Callithrix jacchus: one gene and its partners. The protein of the gene in region 3 interacts with the protein of the main gene of each other region in a biochemical or structural test. Links are inferred from orthologs where the notes say so. Each region holds a gene or a part of one and is shown on either strand. Other genes may lie near its edges. The genes, in order: YOD1, ISG15 and USP21.

Region 1 (7,109 bases), on a different chromosome or scaffold from region 3:
AAGAGCTCCTGAATAAATACTTGACACTTAATATGTAAACAAAGCACTTACAATGAATGGGTTTAATTCTGTAAAATATCAGTGTTCTATTCCTTTTCATTTGTTAAATTTACCCACCATAGACGATATATACTGAATTTTAAAGTGACAGAAATTTATGTTGGAACATATCAAAACATAGGACACAAACATATCAAAACATGCCTGGCACAGTATAAATTACTCAATAAATATTTGTTGCATGAATAAACTTGTAGATCTAAAGCTGCATTAAGCAAATGTCAAATTTGTCTCCTAAAGTAGCAATGGAAGGCAAGATTTATGAGTAATGATGCATAAAGCTCAAACTGATGGTTGCTGTCTAGTGGTATAGTCTTAATTTACAGTTTTAAATTTAATATTTTCTGGGAGAAATAAGAAAGATGCAAAACCAAAACCATCCAGACCAGATATTTTCAATCCTATTAATTTGAACATGATTGCCAAACATTAAGTATTGTAAGCTCACAAGTGCTATTTTTAAGGCTCAGTAAAATAGAAAACTAAACACTGTTAAGTTATACTAACCATAATAGCTTATACTGTCTAAAATAACTATGCACACAAAAGATATTCAAGAAATGTCATCTGATGATTTCAAACATATTTTGTGAATTGTTCCTTAAAAGTACTTTTTTCCTATATTGCTCAAACGTTCCTTAATTTTATATGGCCACCTTCACCAAGTGAAGTGCTAAAAGTAAAGGTCAATTTTAAAACATCTGCCAGGAAGATAGGCTGAAAAAGAACTAAGTGCTTTAAAGTATACCATTGATACTCTGAGATACTTAATAAAAAATAAGACCAAAACAATCAAACTTCACAACATTAAGCCTCTTCACATTATGTGAGATAATACATAACATATGATAATTTAGCATCCCTGATCAGAATAATTAAGAAAAGAGGTAGAAAACTTTATCTGGAAGATCTTGTAGTGAAGCTAAGTTTTAGAGGGTGTGCCTTGCGGATTAGTCCACCAAGCAAATGGCTACACATCTAGTATTAGGAAGAAGCAGAATTCCGAGAAAGCTGCATAAGGCAAGGATTTAAACATATTCCTATTTTGGAAGTGAAACAAATTCATTCAACAGCATTACTCCAATTACTTCAAAAATCAAAGTAAAAGATTGCAGATAAGCAAAGTGCTAATTTGCAGAAATGTGGAATTCTTTAAAATCACATTAGTGGAGGGATAAGGCCAGCACAAAAGCAAACACTGTGTAGGTATGCAAAAAAAATCTTACAAAAACCAACCCAAAGCAGAGCATTATTACTTTAGTTGAAAAAAAAAAAATTTGGATAAAGTGCTCTTAACACAAGGCTGAGAAAACTAAATCCCTCCAGACAAATCTTTATGCAAATGAAGGGAAAACTGAGCACTCAAATTTCAAGGAATTTCAATTAAAAAAATACCCTGCTTAACTTCAAAATGTTATCCAATGTGACAACCAATACAAGAATTGCATTAAAACACGAGGCCAACGGTCTTTTTAAAGCTTCAGTAAGCTGCTCAGGCACCTTTTCCCTCATACATTCTACTTTTTATACACTAGATATCTTAAACAGGGCACAATCAGTTCCTGTTTTGTGATAACATTCTCAAGGGAAACTCATCCCTGTAAAAATTGCTTGTGATGTACTTATCAGTGGTTAAGCACACATTTATAAAGTCTACCAAATTGCAATATAAAATCAGTTTGGACAATTCTGAGTATCTTCATTTGATGAATCAATTCATAATTTAGAAACTTAACTCATTCAGTTTTTAAAACGACTCAGTTACTGGAGACACTGGTAAATGTCCAGTGGCCTCACAGGCCTTCCACATTACCCAGAATGTGATGTTTTCTTCTAAAAGTTAAAGCTGCTGGGTGCTAGTTTATAATACTAAATCTCAATCTTCAGGTCAGTGTCAGTAGGTGGCAAGGATCACCTCTGTCACTCCAGCAGAAAGAGGCATGTATGTACAGTCTACCATTGTAGACACACATCTGTAAACTTGCACACTAATTTTAATCTTAACAAGGAATTTCAGTGTCTTAGTGGTTTTAAGTTAAAAGGATGGTTCAAGCATTGTGTCCTTTTGTTCTTTAGGGTTACAATAGCTTATTGGAAAACCCAGAGCCTTCTGGATCTGTGAGGTAGTAGGCTTCAACCCTCATTCATGCAGAGATCACACTTCTCCAAAGTTGGTATGGCCTGTCTCCTTGGCATGTTCCCTTGCTTCTGCTTGTCCAGTTAATCCTTTCTGACATACCATGCATCTCAGGGTGAAGCGGTTGACATCAGTAAACTGTCTCCTTTTCCTAGCTTCATCTGCTAGTTCCAGTGCTTGTACGAGAACGATATCATCATTAGAGGAGAAAATGGTCAGAGGAGGTGTGTCTGGATCGGGGAAGTTCCGCTGAAGTGGATCATAGTGGATGCCGTCATAAATAAGCAGAACCCTTTTGGTATATCCTGCATCTTCCCCAAAACGATCAATTCTTACTGTCTGTGTATCCACTACACATATTTCACATTGGTAAAACTTGGACAAAATCGATATCTCTATTGCTCCTCCCCAAGTGTCATCCCTTTTGATCCAGTCACAGTACTCTTGATTTGTTTTTCCCAGTATTGCCTCACTATAGAAGTCTGGATCACTTGCTACAATTTGTGCTATGAGGCGTCTCATCTCAGGAGCACAAGCTGGATTCAAGACTCCTCCTTCAACGACATAGTACACACTGGTAAAGAGGCAAGAGTTGTCTGCTGGGACCACGGTTCTGGCAAGCACAGGCAAAGTTTCCCTGACGTAACTAGAAGCACCATGTTTAGTAAGTGAAGGTGAACTTTTGGGCCTGGTTTGGTCTTCTTCAACGATCAGCATGTCACCTGTTAAAAAAAAAAAAAGAATTCAGAACTGCAGAGAAATTACAGAAGAAACTGAAGTGTTCACTAGCCACGTCTGTAAATTACAAACTGAAGGAGTTAAAGCATAAACTGGGGTTACTAAGAAGAATACAGCTTTGCAAATAAGTGACCAGTAACAATTTTTATTCACTGAATTTTCATAAAGATGAAAAAAGAACAAAGAACAAAAAACACTTCAGATTGCACCCCAATTTAGTCAAGGGGTCTAGAGTATACAACTTGAGGCTTACTTAAAAAGATATATTCAAAAACAAAATTTCATTTCCTTATACAGTATCTTACAGAAGGTGCTCACTACAAAGTAGGCCGCTAGGGGGTTCTCCTTCTCCGGAAAATTATCTACTCTATCGAGTGTTTACAGCGTCCTTGATACAACTGGAAGCTTTTAATTATCAACACTGATGTTCAAGTTTTAATATGGCACAGAAATAAACTGCTCCTGGTTAGAACTTGAAAGGGCTTTCAGTGGGTGTCTAAAAGCTAACTCTAAAATGAATATGCCTATCAAACGAAGTATCTATGAAGGCGACCGCAAAAATGAACCAAGAAAAAAAAAAAATCCTGCACCCTTAAGACCTGATCGATGATATAGGGAAAAAGAGACATAAATAAGGACAGAGAAAAGAGGCCCTACTTCTTTTTATTTTTGTGAACGCCGAGGGAAAACAAAATCAGATAGTTTCAAAGCCGACCAGAAAGCGGATTGGGTAAGGGGGACTTCAAGGCTGTGGGTTGCTTTTCAAGCCTGTGTAAAGACCAGGAGTTGCTAGACACTTGCCCCGGCTTGCGTCAGAGTTCTCTGTTCTTTGATCTATCCTCACCCCTGGTCTCAAAGCCCCAGTTGACCCACAGCCACCGTAACTAGCTTTCTATTCTCTCTCACGCCCCTCTCCGTCCTCCCGAGACTTTACTGGCCCCAGCCCTGATTCCTTACCAGATTGGATGGGCAAGTCCTCCAGAATGGTATCCCCATTGCTGAGATCCAGGCACTCGGGAGGGTATCCGACGAGGATTCGCTGACCGCCGGGGGCGATCCCGGTGATGGCGGCAATTTGGCCCTGGAGTTCCCACACCCTGGTCCGGCTGGACAGCCCCTGCAAAACATGGGTGCCGTCCTTGGCCTTGCAGCGGAGCCGCCACATCGTGTCGGTCCGGCTGCCCACAGGCCAGACACCCTCGGGGCCAGCTTTGGTCCCGGCAGCAGGTTGAGAGTCGCCGCCGGGACAACCAGGAGCCGGGTGGACTCCAAAATGGCGACCTTTAGCGGGGCCAAACATCGCGAGAAGTTGCGCGTGGTTCCAGTTCTCGCGACGCTTCGAGCTCTGCTTCTGCCTTAGCACCTTAGCAAGCGCGAACACTTTTAAAGTGATAACAATTTTTTTTCCCCACCCTCAGAACGAAGATGTAAACCTCCGTATTCCTAAAGGACAACGGGTCTTGCTACCTGTAGAGCGAGTGAGGTAGCATATATGCTCAAAGAAGAGGGCGGGGGAAGGAGTTCCTGAATGAAGCCGTGGAGATTGGAATGTGACCTGGCACTTAATGAGGTCGGAAATTATTAAATCGGGGCTTCCACACTATACCCAGACTACACCAGGAGAAACAGAATCATAGCTCACAACGCAAATGAATGCCAGGAATGGTCGGTGAGTCAAAGGACCAGTCAAAAACAATCCTACTTGTGACTAGACTCGTGGCTGCATTAAACATTGACTCATTGGAGTTTCAGGGGCCAAAGGACTGACCTTTCCACCTCCCGAGACTGTGCTTGAAAACGTCTATTTGCTACATCAGAAAGCACAGTCAGCATCTGGGCACAGGGCAGTTGCCTTATTCAGGTGGTGGCAGTGTAAGGAGGAGTCGTGAAACAAGTGTCATCAGATTCCAGTTCAGTTCCTGGGCATAGAAATATGAAGACTTCATTCCTGCCTTCAGTGTAACAAGTATTCATTGCGACTGAGCGAGAGGGTGGAGTGTGAGACACACAGCCACTGAATTTCAAAGCAACGTGACAATGCTAGATTACGTGTACCTTTTCAACCATGTATGCCTAGAACCCAGGACTTTGCCTCGTAAATAAAAAGTGTTCAACAAATACTTGCGAATGAATAAAGACAGAGTTGTAACACAGAGAGGGCTACTAGAGCGCTCTGGGAGTTGTAAAAGCCTCAAAGAGGCGATAACTATTTGAACTTTAGGAAGAATGAATTTAATTCCTAGGCGAAGGAGGAATAAAGACATCCGTGAATTTATATTTGTCTTTTTCAAGAAATCCATACTCATTGTTCTTTATACAGCCGGGATCCAGACAGCAAGTCCCACCTGCCTAGAGTGGGTTTATCAAGCATCAGACGGGCCCGCTGGGGCAACTATGAAAAGTGTAGTTCACGTGGAAGGTGCAAACTCATCTCCTGTAAAACACTTAGCTTCTGAATAAATTATATGTAATCTTTTCACACCTTTAATGACTCAATTTTTTTTTCTGGTGCAATTTTCCTCCTTGGTTCTTCAAGACGATCACCACAGATGATACAGCCTGGGTTGGGGGCAGGTAGGAGGGAAAGTAGGAATGGTTAGAAGCCCACTGGGGTGTATGGGTGGGTCCAGGGAAGCTTCTGGTTCAAAGATGAGAGTAGTTGATTTTCTTAGGGTACAGCTTCTGACCTGTGGAGAGGGATATGTAAACACCCTAAGGTATAATCAGCTCAAGTGTTGTGGTAGTTTATTCTAGAAAAAACATCTTCATAAGCCTACGTTCCCATTTAGGGATCTAACGAGGTTGTGCTGGGATTCAGGAATGAGAGCGTTAATTCTTGCAACACTTTCTCATCATCCAAAGTACACACTCCCTCTCAAGGCGCCTACTGAATAGTTCACTCTCGCGAGAGTCAGAAAAAAAGCCGGGCTTTTTATTAACCCCGCCCCCAGCCCTATTAGTTACTAAGCAACGATGCCACCAGGCTCCACGGCGCTGGGAAACTCGGGAGCTGGTGATCTCTCGGGTTCCCACTTCCACCCGCCTTCCGGAGCCCTCGTAGGCAATTGTGACCTGGCCCCGCCCCCGGGCCCTCCAGGCCCCCGATTGGTGGATGATTCTCTCCAGGTGAGGACCTAGGCTCGAAGGGGTGGGGCCAGACGGGCTCACGTGATTTGCCGGCAACTGGAGCGCCCGCCCCGGCCACCAGCTGTCGGTTCGGTTGCGTTACTGGGGAGGCGCCGGGGCCAAGGCAGGGAGGGATCATAGGAGAGATCGTAGGGTGAGCCACAGCTGCGCAGCGCCGGGTAGGGTCTAGCGGGCTGGATGAGGGGGCTGCGTGCCCCTGGATGAAGTGCGGGGCGAGGTGCTGGTCCCCGGGCACTGCAGGGAGCGCGGACGTTCTGGGACCGGCAGCTACAGCGGGTGTTTGGGTTGGAGGATTTGTGTGGTCAGCGTTGGAATCATGTAGGGCTCTTGAAGCCGCAGGACCTTCCGTCCTCACCAGCCCCCTCCTGTCTGAGTTTGGGGCATGAGCTCAGGGGTTTCCCATTCCAATTCGAATCAGGGCTTACCCCTCTTTCTGAGGTGACCTTGGGGAAGTCATTTACCACCTCAGCTCTCCGGTGTTCTTTAGACTGAGTCCCGAGGGTAACTGGGGAGAGAGTGCGGAGCATGGCGTGAGAATGCACCAGAGTAGAAATAACGACGTGCTAAGGCTGTCTTGGGGTTCAGTTACTGTTTTTCCTTCAGGGAATATGTTCGAGATTTTCCCACGTCTCTCACTCTTTTCTTTTTTCTTTGAGACGGAGTCTGTCTCTCTCTGTCGCCAGGCTGGAGTGCAGTGGTGCGATCTCTGCTCACTGCGACCTCTGCCTCCCTGGTTCAAGCGATTCTCCTGCCTCAGCTTCCCAAGTAGCTGGGATTGCAGGCACGCAAGACCACGCCGATAATTTTTGTATTTTTAGTAGAGTCAGGGGTTTCACCATGTTGGCCAGGGTGGTCTCGATCTCTTGACCTCGTGATCTGCCCACTTCGTCCTCCCAGAGTTCTGGGATTACAGGTGTGAGCCACAGCACCCGGCCTCACTTTTTTCAAAACTGAGACCTAAGGTTAGATTGGAGTTACTTTCTTGGTAATGAACTTGGTCTATTTATAACCCACCCCACCCCAACTG
Region 2 (6,122 bases), on a different chromosome or scaffold from region 3:
TTATTTTCAAAGGACTGGGTCGCCCGTATGCAGTGGTTGCAGTGGTTCACACCTGTAATCCCAGCACTTTGGGAGGCTGAGGCACACAGATCACTTGAGACCAGGAGTTCAAGACCAGCCTGGCCAGGATGGTAAAATACCCATCTCTACTAAAAATACAAAAATTAGGCCAGGTGAGGTGGCTCACACTTGTAATCGCAGCACTTTGGGGGCCAAGGAGGGCAGATCACGAGATCATGAGCTTGAGACCAGCCTGGCCAACACAGCGAAACCCTGTCTCTACTAAAAATACAAAACAAAACAAAAATTAGCTGGGCATGGTGGCAGGCACGAGGAGGCTGAGGCAGGAGAATTGCTTGAACCTGGGAGGCAGAGGTTGCAATGAGCCAAGATCGTGCCACTGCTCTCCAGCCTGGACAACAGAGCAAGACTCCGTCTCAAAATTTAAAAAAAAGGACTGGGTCTGTGGTGCACCCCCTCACCCCAAGCTAGCTACTGATCTCTGGGTCAGAGTATGACAGAGACTCTGCCCTGCCCTGACCCTGTGGGGGTTTCAGGAGAGACTCCTGGGCCAGCTTCAAGTGCCTGTTGTGGCAAAGGGATGAGGTGGGGACCAGAAACAAGGCTGGAGCTGAGACAGCCCCTGCTGGACACACTCAGGCACACAGTGGTCTTGGTGCAGCCAGATGGGGATCCCCCACCCAGACATGGACTCACAGACCACGGAGGGCTCTGTGTCTCCAGCCACATCCCCTCCAGGGCTCTGAAAGCTGAGGCCCAAGTGCCCCAATCCGGACTCTGTGTGTCCCACTGTGCCGTGTCCTTGAAGTGTCCTGGCCGACAGCTGGCTTCTGGGGGGACTCATTTAGCAAATTGGAATCGAGAGACAGGGAAGGGCACATCAGTGGGGAGGGGGGTATAGCTTGTACTGACTTGGGTCCCCCCACCTGGGACAAGCCCTTCTTCCTGGACAGTGTCAGCCTCAATTCCAGGTGCCCCCCACTGCTGGCCACAGCCCCTCCCTCATGCAGAGCCCTGAAGAGTGTGCTTGGGGCCACCCAGGCTGCCTTCTGCTCTTCTGCAGCTGGCCACAGTGGTGATGTGAGGTTCAGACCGTCTCTACTCCTCCCTAGCCCAGCCCAGGCAGGTGGAGCAGGCTGTGCATGCTGCCTAGGGATAACTAAGGCCCCCAGCCCCAGTTCCTGTGCAGAGCCTGCCTCACGGCCCACTGGGTAGGCCCCGAGGAATCACCCCTCACTGCTTCCATGAGCCTCCCTGGTAGCCTTTTGATCTGAGCAGGCTGGTCCCTGTGCAAGCCGTCTGCTGTCCCAGATGCTGGAGGGCCAGGTGGGTTCCATCAAATGCACCTCTTTTTCTTTCTCTAGAAGATAATTTCCCAAAGGGTGGGAAGACCTGTCTTACTTCAGTTTTGGGGGGGTCCCTATTTTGATCCCTCGAGGCTGTAACTGCAGGCCCTTCACTTGGCAACGCAGGCCTGGCCACCAGGATATACCCTGTGTTCTCCCTCCTGACTCCTCCCCTAGCCCCATCAGCAGGGTCAGATCAGAGGTGGCCCCTGGAGTGGCAGGTGCAGACACAGAGGCAGTTCTCCCTCCTGACTCCTCCCCTAGCTCCATCAGCAGGGTCAGATCAGAGATGGCCCCTGGAGGGGCAGGCGCAGACACAGAGGCATCCATTTCCCCTTGCAGCAACCTTTATTTCCAGCACTTGATCCTGCTCAGATGCTGGCAGGAGGCCCTCTGCTCAGCCTGCCAGGCTCTGCGCTGCCTCCCCGCAGGCGAAGATTCATGTACACGGTGCACAGGGGCTTGAGGTCATACTCTCCCAGCGGGAGCTGGTCCTCCATGGGCTTCCCCTCGAAGGTCAGCCAGAACAGGTCTTCCTGCACGCCCTCCTGCTGGCTCACTTGCCGCTTCAGCTGCGCCACGGTCTGTGTCAGTGCCACCTCATAGGTGCTGCTGCGGCCCTTGTCATTCCTCACCAGGATGCTCAGAGGTTCATGACAGCTGTCCACCACCAGCAGGATGGTGCTGCCGGGGCCCAGGCCCTGGCTGGCAAGGGGGACCCTGTCCTGCAGTGCCATGCCACTCGGGTAGATGGCCAGACGCTGCTGGAAGGCGTGCACACCGATCTTCTGGGTGATCTTTGCCTTCAGCTCTGACACCAACATGGAGTTGCTCAGGGGCACCTGGAACTCGTGGCCCCCCAGCATCTTCACTGTCAGGTCCCGGCCCTGCAGGAATCACACAGGCTCAGAGACTCTGCACCAGCCCCAGGCCCACCACACATGAGGCTCTGGCTGCACAAGCGCCTGTGCCCAGGGATACTGCTCCATCCACATGTTGTCAGCAGGGACCGCAGGCACAGAAGGCACTGAGGGGTCACTGCTAGAAGGTCAGCTGCCCACAGCCACCTTGTGGCCTCCCCTTACCTGCTAGGACGCCCCTCTGTGCCCCACCCCGACACTCTCCGGGGTGACCCGCTTTCAGGAGAACGTTCAGGTCACCTGGCTGACCACTCAGCACCCTGCACCCCCAGGAGACCCTGGCTGGGGAAGAGAGAGGAAAATGGACTGAACGCAGCCCCCCGCCCCCACCTGTGGCATCTGCCTTACCATGGCTGTGGGCTGTGGCACAAGCTCCCATACAGCAAAGATGAATGCGCTGCCTCTGGGCTGCCAGCTCCCGAGCCACCACCGGCCCTTTTATAAGCCTGAGCCGCACATGTCAGGGGGCGTGCCAGGGGAGCCTGAGCCTAGTGGCCAGATTCAGCTTCGGTTTCAGTTTCCTTTTCCCGAGGCAAGCCCGGGAGTGAGTAGAAGAAACAAAACAGAATGACGAAAACAGAGGGAAAAGCAGAAGCAGAGTAGGCAGGGTCTCAAGGGCACGGTCAGGGACAGGGACTCAGGACAGCGGACAGCGTCCCCACCCCTGCCCAACGCCCTGGAAACACCTGAGTATCCAGCATTCTGGGTCCTTCACGAGATGTAGTAACTCATCGTCGCATGAACGAATGATGGGCAGTTTTCATTTTCCATTTACCAGTTTGCAAGATTAGTAAACTTGGAAGTGAAACAGTGACCGTCCAAACTACCCAGAGATAACCTCACTTGGTTTAGGGAAATGTTTGCTCAGATTGGTGTTTTTTGTTGTTGTTTTTGTTTTTTTGAGACAGGGTCTCACTCTGTCCCCCAGGCTGAAGTGCAGTGGCACGATCTCAGTGCACTGCAGCCTCCACCTCCTGGGCCAAAGCGATCCTTTCACTTCAGCCTCTTAAGTAGCTGGGACCACAGGTGCACCAGCTAATTTTTTGTATTTTTAGTAGAGATGGAATCTCTCCATGTTGCCCAAGTTGGTCTTGAACTTCTGGACTCAAGTGATCCACCTGCCTCGGCCCCAAAAGTGCAGGGATGACAGGCCTGAGCCGCCACGCTCAGGCCTCATATTGTTTTTTAATAGAAGAGACATATCTTTTATTAAAAAAAAAAAAATGAATTCTGGGGCCCTACTGAGAAAGTGAAAAACAATCCACAGAATGGGAAGAAATATTTTCAAATTATTTCTCTGATGAGGGGCAGCATCCAGGGCGTACAAAGAACTCTTACAACTCAATTTTAAAAAGGCGAGTCAATTTTAAAATGGGCAAAAGACTTCAATAGACATTTCTCCAGTGACACAGAAACAGCTGCGTACCTCGGGAAGGCGGCCGTATCATTATTCATGGGGAAATGCAAATCAAAACCCCAATGAGAAGCTGATTTCGATTAGCATGACTGTAATAATGAAAATGAAGGCTCACTGAACATGTCCTCCAACATTTCAGGAGGCTGAGGAAGACATATCACCTGAGGTCAGGCGTTCCAGACCAGCCTGGCCAACATTTTTAGTAGAAACCTCATCTCTACTAAAATACAAAAATTAGCCAGGTGTGGTGGAGGGCACCTGTAATCCCAGCTACTTGGGAGGCTGAGGCAGGAGAATCTCTTGAACCCGGGAGGTGTAGATTGCAGTGAGCCAAGACTGTGCCACTGCACTCCAGCCTTGGCGACAGAGCGAGACTGTCTCAAAAACTAGTATAAAATAAAAATAAAGGACAATAACAAGCGTTGGTGAATGACTACACGGAGAAGTTGGAATCATGGCACATAACACTGCTGTTGGGAATGTAAAATAGTTTGGCCACTGTGATCCTCAAAATGTTAGACATAGAATTATTGAGTAACTCAGCATTCCACTTGCAGGCATGTGTTCAAAAGAATTGAAAACAGGTGTTCAAATACTTGCATACAAATGTTCATAGCAGCACAATTCACATTAGACAAATCTTGGAAACAGAGCAAACGTCCATCAGAGATGAATGGATAAACAAAATGTGGAATGTCCATGCAATGGAATATTATGCAGCCGTGAAAAGGACTGAAGCACTGATTCCTGCTACGATGTAAAAGAACCTCACAAACATTATGCTAAGGGAAAGGAGCCAGATACAAAGGCGGCAGGTTGTGTGATTCCACTTACTGCAGGAAAAATGCCCAGAACGGATAGACCACAGGAACAGGAAGTCAGGCCTGTTACCGGGGGCTGGGGAGGAGGGATGGGGTGATAACAGCCGTAGAGTGATGGTTGGACAATGTGATGAATAAAGGCCACTGGATTACATTCTTTAAAATGGTTAGTTTCATGTTATATGATTTTCACATCAATAAAAAGCAAAAGAGAAAAAGCCTCATTGTATGTTCACCAGTTTGTAATCTGCTTCATTCAGGAAACAATGTATCATAAACATCTGCCTAGGCCGGGTGTGGGTGGCTCACACCTGTAATCCCAGCACTTTGGGAGGCTGAGGCAGGCGGATCACTCAAGGCCAGGAGTTTGAGACCAGCCTGACCTGCATGGTGAAACCCCATCTCTACTAAAAATACAAAAAAAAAAAAAAAAAAAAAAAAGGCCGGGAGCAGTGGCTCACACCTGTAATCCCAGCACTTTGGGAGGCCCAGATGGGCAGATCACTGGAGGCCAGGAGTTCGAGACCAGATTGGCCAACATGGTGAAAACCCGTCTTTACTAAAAATGCAAAAAATTAGCTGGGTGTGGTGATGCAAGCCTGTCATCCCAGCTACTTGGTAGGAGAATCACTTGAGCCCATGACGTGGAGATTGCAGTGAGTGGAGATCACTCTACTGCACTCCAGCCTGGGCAACAGAGCAAGACTCTATCTCAAAAGAAAAACCCCAAAACACAAAACACACATCTATCCGCATTGGTGGATACATCTATGCAAGTTGTTTTAACTGCAGACGGGTCCCTGCCCACACAGAGTCGATTTAGTTAACCAGTCCCACATCACTCAGTGTTCCCAAATTGCTGCTGTGACATACAGCACATAGCAGGCAAGGGTAGCTAAGACTCAGCAATCATACATAACATTCAAATAAATAAGTAAAGGAGTGAAAAAACAACATATTCTGAATACGAATCGTGGGCCTTCCCCTCTCCCAGCAAAAATCTAGTGGGGCACAAACATTGTTAGCATGTAAAAACCAAAGACACAGCCGGGTGCAGTGGCTCGCACCTGTAATCCCAGTGCTTTGGGAGGCTGAGTCAGGAGGATCACTTGAACCCAGGAGGTTGAGGCTGCAGTGAGCTATGATCTCATCACTGCACTCCAGCTTGAGCAACAGAACAAGAACTTGTCTCATAAAACAAAACACAGGCCAGGTGTGGTGGCTCACACAGCAACATTGGAAAGCTGACACGGGAAGATCATCTGAGGTCCAGGAGTTCAAGACCAGCCGTGGCCAACATGGTGAACCCACATAGTTAAAGCTACTATGTCCAGCCTTTAACTATGTGGCAACAACAAAAGCAACAGGAAAAATTATCCCAAGACTGGTCCACATTTCTATTAAAAATACCAATAAGCCAGGTGCAGTGGCTCACGCCTGTAATCCCAGCACTTTGGGAGACCCAGATGGGCAGATCACTGGAGGCTAGGAGTTCAAGACCAGCCTGGCCATCATAGAGAAATCCCATCTTTGAAATAAAAAAATATTTTTAATTTAAAAATTAAAAAAAAATACCAATATTAGCCTGGTGTGGTGG
Region 3 (7,109 bases):
CGACGGCACCCTATACCTCAGGGACTTGCTTTGGAGTCATGGATTAAAGCCCACTCTGGACAAGGTTGAGAACTAGCGGCCCTAAACTTGGCCGCGTTTCCTTGGTGTCGATCGCGGAGCCTTGGAGGCGGGCTCACGCAAGCGCCAAGGGGCCGGGTGGGAGGAGTTCGAGTGTGGATGCGCAGGCGCTTTGAGAGCCGGTGAAGCCGGTGGCCGGTGGCCGGGCGGGACCAACAAAGATGGCGGCGGCCCCTGCGGCGGGAGCGATCTGGGCAACGGCTGCGGCTAAAGCTGCAGCCGAGCCCACGGGGGCGCTGCACGGGGGTAGTAGGGGGTGGCCCTGAGCTGCACCTGGCCCCGGCTGGCCTCTCCCGCCGCCTCACCGGGGGACAGGTACGGGCCGGGGCGTTATGGCATGGCGGGGTGTGGGGGGGCGCAGAGGGAAGACTGCTCCAGACCCGAGAGGACACTCTCCACAAAGGCGCGTGGGGCCCGGTGGGACCTGGGAGAACTGGGCTGGAGGGACAGCATCCCTGGACCTCGGAGAATACCCCGCCGGATTCCGTAGCCAATCAGCGGCCTCGGCCTTTCTGCCCTCGAGGGGGGCGGACCCGGCTAAAGCCCTGCTGTGGTGGGAGAGGTGCAGAGATTAAGGGTCTAGGAGTTGTTCGTCCTCCAACCCCGATCACTGCCCCTGAACCTCGACACAATGTCGGAGGTCGAAGATGGGGGAGGGAATGGATCGTAAGTCACCCATTTAGTCTGCTTCATTTAGCAGCCCAAAGGGGCAGGGATTTGAGGATGGAGGGCTATCTTTGGGGCTGTTATTCTTGCATCTGCACTATCATTTGGTTGGAGATCTTAAGTGACTCGAGGCACATCCTACTTTATTAGCCAGGTGTGGGGTCCCATGTTATGTTAGAGCCCAGATAGAAGTTATCACTGGATTTTCAGTAAAGCTGTATTCTGCAGGCAGGGGACGGGAGTATAGAAAGGGTCAAAGCCATGGGCTGCTATCTTTCCTTCATTCGTTTACCCCATAGATACTAAGTATTTATACCAAACACAATGCCAGGTATTGGGGATATGATGGCTGATTCAGTAGACCTGGTTCCTGCCCTTAGTGCATATACTGCTCCCCACTTTTGTTGATGTGGTAGTGGTGATGACTGAGCCAATCTAATGTGGAAAGTGTGAGGACAGCAAAATATTGGGTATGGAATGGGGCAAAGCAATAAGGGAAAATTAGTGTGGCAGGGTGCAGTACAGTAGCCTGTTCCTGTTTCCTCCCATGTTCAAATGCTGACACTCTCTTCTCCTCCCAGGTCCAGTCTGTGGTGTCCACAATGCCCCAGGCCTCTGAGCACCGCCTGGGCCGGACCCGAGAGCCACCTGTTAATATCCAGCCCCGAGTGGGATCCAAGCTACCATTTGCCCCCAGGGCCCGCAGCAAGGAGCGCAGAAACCCAGCCTCTGGGCCAAACCCCATGTTACGACCTCTGCCTCCCCGGCCAGGTCCCCCTGATGAACGGCTCAAGAAACTGGAGCTGGGACGGGGACGTACCTCAGGCCCTCGTCCCAGAGGCCCCCTTCGAGCAGATCATGGGGTTCCCCTGCCTGGCTCACCACCCCCAACTGTGGCTTTGCCTCTCCCATCTCGGACCAACTTAACCCGTTCCAAGTCTGTGAGCAGTGGGGACTTGCGTCCGATGGGGATTGCCTTGGGAGGGCACCGTGGCACCGGAGAGCTTGGGGCTGCGCTGAGCCGCTTGGCCCTCCGGCCTGAGCCACCCACTTTGAGACGTAGCACTTCTCTCCGCCGCCTAGGGGGCTTTCCTGGACCCCCAACCCTGTTCAGCATACGGACAGAGCCCCCTGCTTCCCATGGCTCCTTCCACATGATATCCGCCCGGTCCTCTGAGCCTTTCTACTCTGATGACAAGATGGTGAGGACTTGACAGCTCATATGGCCTTCATGACCATGTTCCTCTATGCTTTTCTGCCATCCTCTGCCTTTCCTGTCCCCATTTCCTTCAAGTTCCTTTCTCATACCCTTGAGCCTCCCAGACCCTTTTCTGGGTTGTTGGTGACCCCAGCATGGTGTGCTGTTTCAGTCCCCAGGGAATTAGCCCAACTATTTAGAATTCTTCTTTGGGTTCGCAGGCCCTTCCTTTCCCTTGCTGTATCTTATCTGCTGGGACTCTGCCTGGGCCTAATTAATCTCTGGAGCTAAAGAGAGGCGGGCTCAGAACATCTTAGCAAATGTGGTTTTACATTTTCTGAGCTAAGTAAGCTAGGCTGATTGCAATTGGAGTCAGCAGGAGAAAGGGCAAGAAGGGGCCACGGGGGCAGGAGGGGGTTTTGGGGGCAGAAAGGTGGGAGTGGTGAGCAGCTGGGCAACCATGCCAGTTCTTGGGGAGTTGCCCCAGGAGCTGCAACGTCGGCTAGCTGAGCAGAGGAGTAAGTGGGCAACAGGTGGGACAGCCATGGCTGAGTCCGTGGTACATTCAGCTGTGATGGGCTTACTGCTCATGACCAGTGAGGTAGGGAGACTAGAATACCTAGTGAGGGGAAAAGGGTAGAGTTTGGGGATGGAACATGCATGGGATGAGGGAGGCAGTGGACAGCATGCTGTTGAAAAGATAAAGTGCCAGCTAGGATATATAGGAACTTGCCGATTGTACTCTGACCTTCCAGGCTCATCACACACTGCTTCTAGGCTCTGGTCATGTTGGCCTTCGAAACCTGGGAAACACGGTGAGAGTCATTCTCCTATCTTTCCTCTCTAAAAGGAATGTGAAATGGTGCTGGGGCTGGGGAAAACCCGCAAGCTTGGGGAAGGCATGTGGAAGGAGAGCTCTGAAGCTCTTTTAAGGCTTCCAGGGCAATGGTCTGGAGAGACAACAGCAGTGTCCCTGCTGCTCCCCAGTGCTTCTTGAATGCTGTGCTGCAATGTCTGAGCAGCACTCGACCTCTTCGGGACTTCTGTCTGAGAAGGGACTTCCGGCAAGAGGTGCCTGGAGGAGGCCGAGCCCAAGAGCTCACTGAAGGTGGGGCAACAATTCCTGCTCCCTCTGTTCAAGTCCCTTTTTCCCCAACCACTTGCAGGTCCATCTGCCAGTGCTGCTGGCCCCCAGCCCTTAAATCTGGCAGTTGTATCTACTTTTCCCAGTGCCTACTTTCCTAAAGGTTGTTTTCGCCCTCTTAGCCACCTGTTGCTTGCCTCTTCCAGACATTAATCTCCATTTCCCTTCCCCACTCATATCCCAACAGCCTTTGCAGATGTGATTGGTGCCCTCTGGCACCCTGACTCCTGCGAAGCTGTGAATCCTACTCGATTCCGAGCTGTCTTCCAGAAATATGTTCCCTCCTTCTCTGGATACAGGTGGGAGAGCTGGAGGCTATGGGGTTTCTCTCTGGCCATGTCTAGGGGTAGGGCCAAGCAAGGGCCTTGACAGCACTGTTCTGAGCCTTGTGTTCTTTATCCAGGAGGTGGGGACTGATATCTGGGCAGGGAATAGTGTCTGTGGACTAGGAGGGGGGTCAGTTGCCCATACTCTTTACCTGGCTGTAGCCAACAGGATGCCCAAGAGTTCCTGAAGCTCCTCATGGAGCGGCTGCACCTTGAAATCAACCGCCGAGGCCGACGGGCTCCACCAATCCTTGCCAGCGGTCCAGCTCCCTCTCCACCCTGCCGAGGAGGGGCTCTGCTAGAAGAACCTGACTTAAGGTAAGGGTCACTCCCCCTACCTCCTCTCCCCAGTAGTTTATCCACAGCATTCACATTTCATAGAACTGAACTAGTCAAGATCGAAGATTTAGGGTCCAGGGAAACCCTTTAGTACAGAATATAGTGTGAAAAGCTCTTCTAAGAAATGGAAGGAAGGAAGAGGGGGAGTCTAAGGGGAGCAGATGGAGGCAGATCATGCTAGGGATGTCACCAAATAGAAGGAGAAGGGGATAATTAATTTACAAGTAGAGGATGACAGCATATTCTTTCCTTGTATACATTCCTTTCTTTTCCTCTCACCTTGGATTTCCCTAGAAAGTTCACTGAGGCATTATTTCTTTGACTTTTCCTTGAGATTTAGGGAAGGAGCAGGGGTGTGGGTGGGGTATAGGGCTTTGTGGGTTGTTTCGGTGGGTGTTGGGGGTGCCCAGTGTTCCCACTGTCTCATGGGTGCTTCCTACTTCCCTTGATCTGTGGTAGTGATGATGACCGAGCCAACCTAATGTGGAAACGTTACCTGGAGCGAGAGGACAGCAAGATTGTGGGTATGGAACGGGGCAAAGCAATGAGGGAACATTAGTGTGTGAGGCGGTACAGGCTTGAGGGGAGGAAATCGATACTATCAAGGGGTATGGGAATGAGACTGGATGATGCAAATGTTGTGTGAAGAGTTGGTTAGAGTGTTGGTAGTGGGAAAGGGGCAGGAAGAGATGGAAATCAAGAAATCATCTCATGGCATCCAACAATGACTTTTTCTCCTGTCCCTGTGCTTCTATCTAGACCTGTTTGTGGGCCAGTTGAAAAGTTGTCTCAAGTGCCAGGCCTGTGGGTATCGCTCCACGACCTTCGAGGTTTTTTGTGACCTGTCCCTGCCCATCCCCAAGGTGGGATTCCAGAGGATTCCAGGGTGGATAGGACAAGGGCTCGGTGACCCAAGCCTACCCACCCCAAAATGTGGGAGGGAACCCTGTGGGTCTCTGGAGCAGAACTGAAGCCTGGATTGATTGAGAAGAGTTGGAAAAGGAAATTCAGAACATGTTGACCCTTTCTTCCCCTTTTTCCCCAGAAAGGATTTGCTGGGGGCAAGGTGTCTCTGCGGGATTGTTTCAACCTTTTCACCAAGGAAGAAGAGCTAGAGTCGGAGAATGCCCCAGTATGTGGAGGTTCACAAGGGTTATATTATAGTAAGGGTGGGAGACCTGGGGGGACTCCATGTGAATAAAAGGGATTGCATGATGCCTTAGTATGGGGAATAATATTTCCGTATCTGGATTTATGTAGGAGTCTCAGACACATTCTAGTACTCCTGGGGCAAAGGGGAGAGGCCGAGAGGATCTGGCCATAATTGGGAGCACACGGAATGGATTGGGGTGTCAGAAAAGCCAATTGAGGTTAGGATCACATTAACCCAACACTGTTTGCCATTTATTCAGGTGTGTGACCGATGTCGGCAGAAAACTCGAAGTACCAAAAAGTTGACAGTACAAAGATTCCCCCGGATCCTTGTGCTCCATATCCTAATCTTCATATTCTTCTCTTAGGATACCTCCCATACATTCTCTTTCCTCACTCTCCATGTTTCCAGAGAATTGAATTTTCCCTAGGAAATGCCTACCACCCACCTTTCCACAGGCCACTCTGCGTGTGTGTTGGGAGGGGGGAAAGAACAGCCTTCAGGACAGAAGTCCCCCTCAGAGGCCCTCTGCCTCCCAAATGCTCCTTAACCAGGGCTTAGATCTGAATCGATTTTCTGCCTCCCGAGGCTCCATCAAGAAAAGTTCAGTAGGTGTAGACTTTCCACTGCAACGACTGAGCCTAGGGGACTTTGCCAGTGACAAAGCCGGTGAGTCTGGTGGGGAAGGTTCTAAGGAGCTGAAGGAGTGGGGGCACAGCTCTGATTTTAGAACTTGATCATCTCCAACCTCGCAGGAAGTCCTGTATACCAGCTGTATGCCCTTTGCAACCACTCAGGCAGCGTCCACTATGGCCACTACACAGCCCTGTGCCGGTGCCAGACTGGTTGGCATGTCTACAATGACTCTCGGTGAGAACAGCCTCCTGTTTACATCCTGCCCCATTCCCACTGCAGCCCTGACACTCTCCCCTTCTGTGAAGCCCCAGGAGAGCAGAGTGCCAGGTGAAAGGAGAGGTGGAGGTCTTGCCTGATCTCTTCCTGGATGCTCTGATGTAGGGAGGAGGGGGTAAACTGGAATGACTACAACCTGTTCCCCATCTCCTTTTTCCTAGTGTCTCCCCTGTCAGTGAAAACCAGGTGGCATCCAGCGAGGGCTACGTGCTGTTCTACCAACTGATGCAGGAGCCACCCCGGTGCCTGTGATGCCCTCTCTAAGCCCTGGCACCTGTGAAGTCCTTTAAACACCCTTAAGCCCCAGGCTCCCCATTTACCTCAGAGACGTCTATTTTTGTGTCTTTTTAATCGGGGAGGGGGGAGGGGGTGGTCGTAGCTCCATTATTTTTTTTAATAAAAAGTACCCTTCCACCTGGAGGCTCCCTTGTCTCCCAGCCCCATGTACAGAGCTCACCAAGCCCTTGCCCATGTACAGCCCCCAGACCCTCTGCAATTTCACTTTTTGTGAATAAATTTATTAAGAAAAAAATGACGTGCTTATTTGTATTTTTGCTTAGGGGGTGAAACAGGACTGGGCTAAATTGGAGGCTTCCTGGGACCCAGTTCCCTCTGTAACAGGTGGGGGCGCTCTTAGAGCCGAGGGGGAAGGTTTCGGGGATGGTGCTGGACCCGGACCTGTGCGCCCCAGCAGCGAAGGTTAAGTACTGGGAGGAAAAGAGGGAAGGTACACTTGAGTGAGGCTGCCAGGAGGCCTGAACTAGAGTGCAAGCTCTGGGGCGACGGGTTTGGTGGGCGATGGGGACTGACACTGTTGACAAACACGGTACGTTGCCGGGCGGCCCTAGCTCCCGCAGGCTCGGTCTGTTGCTAACATCAAGGAGCTGTTTATGGAACCGCCTCCCCGTGGACCGGTCTCCAGTGTCCCTATCTACTCTCCCTAGAACCAAGCTTCTGGGGCCTTCCCTCCAGGGTTGTCACCCTAGCTGGGCGTACGAAGCTTGCTGGGGAACGCTAACTCCCCAGCGCTCGCCGCAGCGGCCCTAGGGAGCGTAGCGCCGGGTACTGCCGCTCACTTCCAGCTTGACGCTGACGCGGTTAACCTCCGGCTCTTCCAGCGGCCGTCGCCTCTCCTTTGCCAGTTCAGTGTTTTCATTGGTGAACGTAATCCGGGACCTTCCAGCGCTCGCCAATCCCGAAGTAGGAGTGATAGGGTCAGGCGCGTGCCGCGAGAATAGAGTGGACGGAAAGTCGGAGAGACCGAAAGGGTTGGGGGTGGGAGTAGCGGATTTG

Evidence for each region.
Region 1: the proteins of USP21 (region 3) and YOD1 form a complex in vitro, tested with the Homo sapiens proteins (2 studies listed by BioGRID, with this or other methods). The link is inferred for Callithrix jacchus from reciprocal best matches to the Homo sapiens genes USP21 and YOD1.
Region 2: the proteins of USP21 (region 3) and ISG15 form a complex in vitro, tested with the Homo sapiens proteins (2 studies listed by BioGRID, with this or other methods). The link is inferred for Callithrix jacchus from reciprocal best matches to the Homo sapiens genes USP21 and ISG15.

The regions. Positions count from the first base shown.
Region 1 is NC_133520.1:34,558,050-34,565,158, forward strand, and holds the start of YOD1 (ubiquitin thioesterase OTU1), read right to left. Parts: upstream 4,401-7,109; 5' UTR 4,236-4,400; coding exon 3,893-4,235; intron 2,920-3,892; coding exon 2,216-2,919; 3' UTR 1-2,215. UniProt on the Homo sapiens protein: Hydrolase that can remove conjugated ubiquitin from proteins and participates in endoplasmic reticulum-associated degradation (ERAD) for misfolded lumenal proteins.
Region 2 is NC_133508.1:39,226,762-39,232,883, reverse strand, and holds ISG15 (ubiquitin-like protein ISG15), read right to left. Parts: upstream 2,701-6,122; 5' UTR 2,639-2,700; coding exon 2,636-2,638; intron 2,255-2,635; coding exon 1,739-2,254; 3' UTR 1,697-1,738; downstream 1-1,696.
Region 3 is NC_133519.1:21,022,206-21,029,314, forward strand, and holds USP21 (ubiquitin carboxyl-terminal hydrolase 21), read left to right. Parts: upstream 1-215; 5' UTR 216-393; intron 394-1,325; 5' UTR 1,326-1,346; coding exon 1,347-1,946; intron 1,947-2,697; coding exon 2,698-2,757; intron 2,758-2,929; coding exon 2,930-3,050; intron 3,051-3,273; coding exon 3,274-3,385; intron 3,386-3,574; coding exon 3,575-3,730; intron 3,731-4,210; coding exon 4,211-4,275; intron 4,276-4,510; coding exon 4,511-4,614; intron 4,615-4,796; coding exon 4,797-4,883; intron 4,884-5,163; coding exon 5,164-5,242; intron 5,243-5,465; coding exon 5,466-5,573; intron 5,574-5,659; coding exon 5,660-5,774; intron 5,775-5,977; coding exon 5,978-6,068; 3' UTR 6,069-6,352; downstream 6,353-7,109. UniProt on the Homo sapiens protein: Deubiquitinates histone H2A, a specific tag for epigenetic transcriptional repression, thereby acting as a coactivator.